Rattus norvegicus: one gene and its partner. The protein of the gene in region 2 purifies or fractionates together with the protein of the main gene of each other region. This does not show direct contact. Links are inferred from orthologs where the notes say so. Each region holds a gene or a part of one and is shown on either strand. Other genes may lie near its edges.

Evidence for each region.
Region 1: the proteins of Pgm1 (region 2) and Grhpr fractionate together in Homo sapiens (co-fractionation; 3 studies listed by BioGRID). This does not show direct contact. The link is inferred for Rattus norvegicus from reciprocal best matches to the Homo sapiens genes PGM1 and GRHPR.

What each region holds. Positions count from the first base shown.
Region 1 is NC_086023.1:64,028,406-64,032,317, reverse strand, and holds the start of Grhpr (glyoxylate reductase/hydroxypyruvate reductase), read right to left. Parts: upstream 2,463-3,912; 5' UTR 2,426-2,462; coding exon 2,322-2,425; exon of another isoform or gene 2,142-2,321; intron 951-2,141; coding exon 820-950; intron 1-819. UniProt on the Homo sapiens protein: Enzyme with hydroxy-pyruvate reductase, glyoxylate reductase and D-glycerate dehydrogenase enzymatic activities. Reduces hydroxypyruvate to D-glycerate, glyoxylate to glycolate, oxidizes D-glycerate to hydroxypyruvate.
Region 2 is NC_086023.1:119,745,049-119,748,860, reverse strand, and holds part of Pgm1 (phosphoglucomutase-1), read right to left. Parts: intron 3,125-3,812; coding exon 2,934-3,124; intron 1,660-2,933; coding exon 1,505-1,659; intron 1-1,504. UniProt on the Homo sapiens protein: Catalyzes the reversible isomerization of alpha-D-glucose 1-phosphate to alpha-D-glucose 6-phosphate. The mechanism proceeds via the intermediate compound alpha-D-glucose 1,6-bisphosphate.

The DNA of each region.
Region 1 (3,912 bases), about 56 Mb from region 2:
TTCTGGGGTTGGTCTTAGGAATACCGACTTATCATTTCTTAAATGAGGGGAGGAAGCTGCTATCCCTGTCCCTAGTATTAAGTTGATCTACTTTGCCACTGACTATAGGAGCTCAGGTAGAGTTCTGTCCCAGTTGCTGAACATTCTTCACGCCTTTTCAGGGCTCTTAACTCTCACCCACCAGTGGTTGTGGGTCCCCTTTAGCCACACCAAAAGCCTCTCCCCACCGACACTTGAAGTGCTGAGGTGGCTGGGGTGTGACTGTATCCTGTGCTCTCCTCCACTAAGTATCTGTCTGGTTAAGGCCAGGGTGAGAGTGGTTCTGCACCGAATCTGGCAGCCTAGGGTCTGAAGTGTTCCTTAAACTGACACAGTACAACTTACAGGACGATGTTCACTCTACCCAGGAATGAGACCTGGGGCCACTGCTGTGCGCACCCATCCTGGGTACCTATCAGTGCTCAGCACAGACAGTGCTGGGCCCCCTGTCCTGCAGCACACAGGCCCAGAGAGATCTCAAGGTCACAAAGCAAGGCCGTGGCACAGCAGAGAGGTTCAGAGCCCAGGATACCCTCCCTTCTCCACCCTCCAACCTCTACTCCCACCCAGGTATCACATGGTCTTTGCCCTCTTGGAGCCTCCCAGGATCTTACAAACCAGATCGGGGACAACATATGTCAACTGGAGCTACTGCTGGGGGCGCCCTTAGAAGACAGGGAAAACACTACAGACAAGCTCAAAGGCCAGTTACAGCAGGCTGGTGTGCTCACCCGGCACGACCCCCCTCAGAACGTTGGCTCAGGCCGACTCAGCACATACCCGCAGCATCCAGAAGTTTCTTGTCCACGCGGTCACTGAGGCGGCAGAGCAAGCCATAGGCCCCCGCCACGCCTTGCTCCAGATCCTTGCTGGGGATGGGATCATCCGAATTCCACTGCTCTACCTCACAGCTGAAGGAAAGGGAAGCCACTCAAAGAATGTAGAGGGTCCTACAGTGTGCATGGCTGGCAAACATGGGCTTCCACGTGCTATGGCCTTAGGCTAGCCAGAGTTAAGGTCACTCGTGGGGAGGCTCAGAACTGTCTGGAGTGTAGCTGGAGGAGGGGCTGAAGGGCTACCAAAGTGGGGAAAGTTGACAAGAGCTGAAGGCTCCCCTGGCCATGGGAGCACTTGAGTGTGCTTCCTTAGCAGCCCAAAGTGTGAGGTGCTCCTCCAAACCCTTCCACTGAATCCAGAGCGGTCCTGGTGTGTGTACACAGGAGACACTGGACAGTGGCTGGCAAGTCCCCAGGTCCATTCGTCTCAGCTCCTCAGGACCAAAAGTACCAACAAAACAAGTCCTTAGGAAAAACTGTATTGTGCTAGAAAATCTTCAAAACAAATCACATTCCCCAAACCATCAGAATTTAATCCCAGCACTCTAAAGGCAGTGGCAGACCTATCTCTGTAAGTTCGAGGGCAGCCTGGTCAAAAAGCAAGTTTCAGGACAGGCAAGGGTGCAACACAGAGAAATCCTGTCTTGAAAAACAGAAAACAAACAAACAAACAAGCAAACAAAAACTGACTGCTGAGTGCTCTCACCTCCACCCAAACTGGCACCGTAATGCAAAGCTGTCAAGACAAAGTGGCTAAACCGGCAGTGGGAAAGGACTGAGCATAAAGGCCAGGTCTGCCGCCTGGAGCTCAGTGACCCTGGGGCCCTGTGTTCTCAAGTCGGTGATAGAGAACTTCTAAAGCTGACTTCACAGTGTTGGAAGGACTGAAAGTCTGTGTTCACAGCTCCAGATAAGATTCAATAAACAATCATTCAAAGATTCAGAGCACAATCATCAAACGCAAACGGCCCCATCCAGTATCCAAGGAGGCAAGCCAATGGCTGCCATAGTCCCTAAACACTCCTGCCTGCCAGCTAATCTCAGAGGGTAAAATTCACGGCCTGAACCTTGCCTCTTAGGCAATCTCACTTCACTGAAGGCTGGAGACCAATATCCTGGAGCCAGGAGCAAGCCGCCACCCGGAGAATTTTCTCTAAGGCGGCCCCAAACTCCAAGCCAGCCCCTTGAGGACACAGCTGGCAACTCCTGAGCAAAGCCCCCAAGCGCCAGCGCCACCCTCCCCGATCCTGGCTCCACTTAGCCTGCCTGCCAGGCGCCCGGCTCTTGGAAGGTAGCCCCCAGTCCTGGGACAGCTCCGGAAGCCCCAGCCGTGTGTCTGGAGACTCACGATCTACCCAGCGCGGCTGCAGGGGTGTCTGAGGTTGGGTGGACTGGACAGCGTGCCAGGGGCTCAGCTGCAGACCCCACGCCGACGCGGGCGCTTACTCTGTGGCCTGGGCGAGCGCAGCCCTGCCCTGGGCCGGCAAAGGGCCAGTGACGAACACCTTCATGAGTCGCGCGGGTTTCACAAGACCCGCAGCTGCAAACATTAACCAACCTAGCCTAGCAAAAGGCGACGGAAGTGTGGGCGGGGCCGGCGTTGGGGGCGGGGCCAGCGCTGGGGGCTGGGCCGAGTCCGGACCCTAATCCATCCAGTGTGGCTGGGGCTGGCGCTCTGCAGATTTGGGTGTCCGGGGAAAGAGGCCCTTTATTTGTGTGGGTTGAGTGTAGGGCTTCAAGAGCCTTCTTGGGTGTGTGTGCTTTCAAGAGTGACAAGGTCTCGAGACTGTCAAGCATCCCTAAGAGCCTGGAGTGAAAGGCATACTGAAGAGGGCACCTGTGTGAGCGGCTATGGATATGTCTCTGACTATGCTGTCAGAGTGAGGAAAGGAGAAAGCCCTGATAGCCCTGTGAGGGCTATCTTAGCCAAACTATCCCAGACAGAGGCTTCTGGTTAAACACACAGAATTCTAAGCCAAGCCTGACCTGCGTGCTCTCAGGAGGCTAAGCAAGAGGGTCTGAATCCCGACATTATAGCTTTAACACTTAGGATGATTCCCTGGATTGTGATGATATTTTAACCTGCTGACGGTCTGGAAACAGTTCCTGAGCGAGTCAGGGACCAGGTATGCTGGGTCATGGGTAAGTCCAAGGTTTGCAGGTAGATGGGACTGAGTCTGGATCTTGGCTCTAACCCTTTCGAACTATTTGACCATGAGATGACATCCGAGCCCTAATCTGCACTCCCGCCCCTATTTCTTCAGGCACATAATGGGGATAACATTTCCATTGAAGGTTGTTTTCACTACTGAACGGGGCTGCTTAGCCCGAGGGTGGGAGTACTCAGCTGCCTGGGGCTAAATGCTCATTTCACCATGGTGTGCAATTATTAAACTTTGTGTGCCTCAGTTTCCTCATCTGTACAATGGGGATTGTAGTGGTACTTGCCTCTGCTTGCTGAGCAATGACATGTGTACTGTGCTTATAATAGAGACTGAGCCAGGCATGGTGACTATGCTTATAACCCAGCATTCAGGATGTAGAGGCAGGATTGCAAGTTCAAGGCCAGCCCAGACTTCACGGCAAGTGATGCAGGTCCTGAAAACAGTTTAGGGCTTGCTCAGGGTCCCGGGGCCTGCCCATGAGTTCTGCAGCCTCATTTCAGTCCCAAGGCTGTTCAGTGACTTGCTCTCTGGTCTGGATGGGCCCCAAGGGCAACACAGTGGACCCTTCACTGATTTTATGGAGACCCACGAGGACTCCAGTATATAATATACACAGTGTTGACAGTTGTCAACTGGGCCATTTGGGGTACCCACTAATATAGCAGAAGATGGCCTTGAACTTGCCAGAATTACTTGTACCTAGCACTACTTTCTGTTCGCATCTGGGTCCATGCCAAGTCTTTACCCTTACCCTCCCTTTCCTAAGTAATACATTAATGTGTCCCCTACTGACCCTTATGTGTGTTGTTAGGTCACTACAGGGAAAGGAAAGGTCCTGAAAGTTGTCAAACATTGACACAAGGAGGTGTTTT
Region 2 (3,812 bases):
GTCTGGGGCTCTGCATTAAATTTTCTTAATCTTTGATGTAGGAGAGATTAATTTTCAGGAAGCAGCTGCTTTTAGCTGGTAAAGCAACAAAACTAAAACTCATCATAATAAACAGAGCATTTACTGTCTGTGACACAGGGGGATGTGGACCTTAGACAATCTCCCTTGTTTTCACACGGTTACCAATGTAAGGAGAAATTTATATACAAAATCTTCATTTTAGGGAAAGAATAAAAAGCTAATCCTCTTAGCACACTATTATATTAACTCTGAATAGTTTCATTATCCAGCTACCCTGACGTAGCTGCTCCCTAGCTGGCTGAATTTAATCAGCCTTCTTGACCTTGGACATGCACTAATACAGTGGGGTTATTGACAGCATTTAATAAGAATTGAATGACTTAATCAAATATGTAAAATATCTACTGTCCTGGCCAAGGGACCCTCCTTAAGCCTAGCCAGTCTTGTAAGTACCTGAATCAATACACTCTTCCCTTCCCACACCCATGGCCTTTTACTCATTCACTCCTCACTGTTAACTCAGCAGAAGATCCCTGAGGTCCTGATATGTTCTAAAGCATCCCCTGTTTGTTACTTAGACCTTTCACTTTTAATCATTTTCCATGGGCCTCACAAGTCTCCTTTTATAAATGAAAAAATGCCCAAGAGAACAAACGTGTAAGAAATTCTGATACTGTTTACTGCCACGGATCTTCTGTTGCAAGATCCATGCAAGGGCATGTATTTTCCCTATTGAACTTTCTGCTTTAGTGTTTGGACAAATGAGGCATCACTGCATTTAAGCCTGCAAGAGGAATCAGTTCTGATTAAAGTCTGAAGTCACTTTAAATGACTCTTTAAAGATGCATTTCATGTGTTTGGCTGTTTTGACTGCATATACCTATATGCCACATGTGTGCAGTGCTCTCAGAGGCCAGAAGAGGAGACTGAAATTATATATGGTTATGAGCCACCATGGAGGTGCTAGGGATCGAACCCTGGTCCTCTGGAAGAATAGTGTTCTTCTTAACTGCTGAGCCATCTCTCCAGGGCCCTCAAAATACTTTTTTAATCATGGTGTGTGCACACTGCTCAACAAAAGGGACCCTGCATAGATCAAGAATAACATCTTGACTACAAAGAAAGTACCATTCATTTATCTCTAGCGTTCGTTTACTTACTGTGTGCATCCTATTTGGGAACACTGCCACGCAGAATTAAGATGGTGAAAAAAAGGACAGTACTTTCTCTGTAGAGGTGACAGCCTAGCTGTGGAGCCATCAGACAGATAGCCTGACAGACCACAGTGTGGCGAGGACCAGGCTGGAGGAATGCAGGATGCTGATGGGCCTTAGAAGAGAGCTAACCCTGTAAATACCTCACTCAAGAAAGACTGCAGCCACAGGCTTATCCTGGAAGCGGAGGACTCATGCTCCAGGCACGGTGCTGGCATAATGAAGAACAGTGTGATGGGAGACAGGTGGGCCCAAGAATGGAGACCTACCGGTCCAGAGCACCACTTGTGGGCATGCTGCGGGCAAAGCCACGGACCCCAGTCTGCTGGAAATACGGAATGCTGAAGATGTTGGCGGCGATGACAGCCACAGAGTCAGAAGGGTTCACAAAGAACCCGTGCTTGCCCAGAATCATGTTCCTATCCTGGGGAAGAAAAAAGGTTCAATGTAAGACCTTTTAATCAGACAGCAAACAAGAGAGACAATAATCTGTGGAGTTTTCCAAAATTCAACCTGGGTCCTACACTCACACTGGGCTTTAAACACGGGATTTTTTTGGTGGTTTTGTGTAACACTGTGGGTCCAAAGGTACCTCCGTGCCCAAGAGTTAAAACTGGTTTCAATTAAAATGCAAGCACAAACCGCCTTTGAGCTGAGCCCTCTGTTCTCCCTCCTGGGGCCGCTAACTTTAACCTCCTAGACCTCTCCAAACTCTGGAACCAATCATGTCTCTCCCAGAGGAGGGGAAAGGATGTACAAGAGAGGAAATGTTGGCTGTTTATGCAGTTTGACAGGTCTACTGGGCATCCTCTGAGGAACAAAGGCAGACTTCTTCAAGGAAGGACTTCTAAATCATGGTTCCCTCCAATTGCTACCGGACCCCCCCCCAAAAAAAGGCCGCCACCCTCGCCGCTTCCAAGGTGCCTCCTGTGCTGCCACTCGAGCGCCTGAGACTCGAGGGGAAACGGCAGCACATCCTGCACTCCATCGGAAGATCCCTGGTGACACAGCATCTGCTCTGAGCCCCTTCAGTTCTCCTAAGTCTTGATGTAGGGAATATTAATTTTCAGGAAGCAGTTGCTTCTAGCTGGTGAAGCAGCAAAAATAAAAACTCATAATAAACAGAGCATTTACTGTCCGTGACACACAGGGATGTGCACCTTACACAATCTCCTTTGTTGTCACACGGTTACCAATGTAAGGAGAAATTTTCATTTTAGGGAAAGAACAGAACGTTGACTCTCTTAACGTACTCATTACATTGGCTATAAACAGTTTCACTATCCAGCTGGTATTAACAAATGCATGGGTATGTTATTAGATGAAATGCACGGGTATGTTATAAGATGAACCTTCTGTAGAGATTAAATGACCAATCGGCCTGGCTGAGACCTACCTTAGGGCCAGTATCTAGAACTCCTGCAGCTTCTGGAGTATAGTCATTAAATCCTAACTGGGACCTACACCCCCACTCGGCAAATCCGAGTGCCTGAAATCCAATGCACTGGTTATATTTCAAAGCCTTTTGTTTCTGCTCAAGAGGGTCTTTTAATCATTTGGCCCTGGCCTCCTGTGTAACAAAGGGCTCTTGAGAGCTACTCAGCAGGCTCCAATGGCCTGGTAGAAACTGTCCATTTTCCCCCTGCGTCTGCAAGGCCCAGCTTGCATGAGAAACCATTTAAATGTACCTATACACACCCCATCACCATCAAAGGCAGCCCCGAAATCATGCTCTCCTGACTTCATGGTTTCCACCAGGTCAGCAGCGTAGGTGAGGTTGGGGTCAGGGTGGTGGCCTCCAAAATCCTCCAGGGGAACACAGTTCACAGCTGAGTTTGCGGGGGCACCAAGTTCTTCACAGAGGATCTTCTTGACGTACGGTCCCACAACTGTAACAAATTAAAGGATGAATAGCCAAACCCTAAAACTTATTAAAATGTGGAATGGCTGCAGGGTGGGATGCACACTGTGGGAATAAGAATGGCATGGGCAACTTCCTATCCCCAGACACCATAGTATTTGAAAGGAGTCATCTACTGAGTCTCTGTCCGTTTTCCAAACATGTGCAGAGGAGGCCCTCAGCTCTGCCGACTAGTTGAGGAGGACACAAACCTTCCATATGAAGGAGGAAGGAGACTCCTCCTATCAAAACTAGAGGGCCAGCAAGGACCCAGTGGAAGGCTGCAGTCGAACAGTAGATTTTTTTTTCAGGGCAGTCTGCAGTGTATCAGGAAGCTCTGCTCAGACCCATGAAAGAGCTCAGGCAAATGCATCCTTCCCCAACCACACAGACAAGTCTGTGGGTTCCGCACCCCTGCCACTCAAATACTCTCCAGTCCTGAACTGCTGCAGGATAGGCAGAGTCTAAATAGTCATGAATTTTCATGATCTATATATGGGAAAGTCTCGTGGCTTCAGGTCATAGTCACGGTTGTCTCTACTGGCCTGGTCAAACAGCCCACAGAGGAAGAAGGATGGGAGATACACATCCTGTTGCTGCTGAGTTTAATCCTTGGCTTGCCCCGGCCCCCAGCTAAGAAAAGCATGTGGAAGCAATGGTGGTGGGGCTCGAGAACA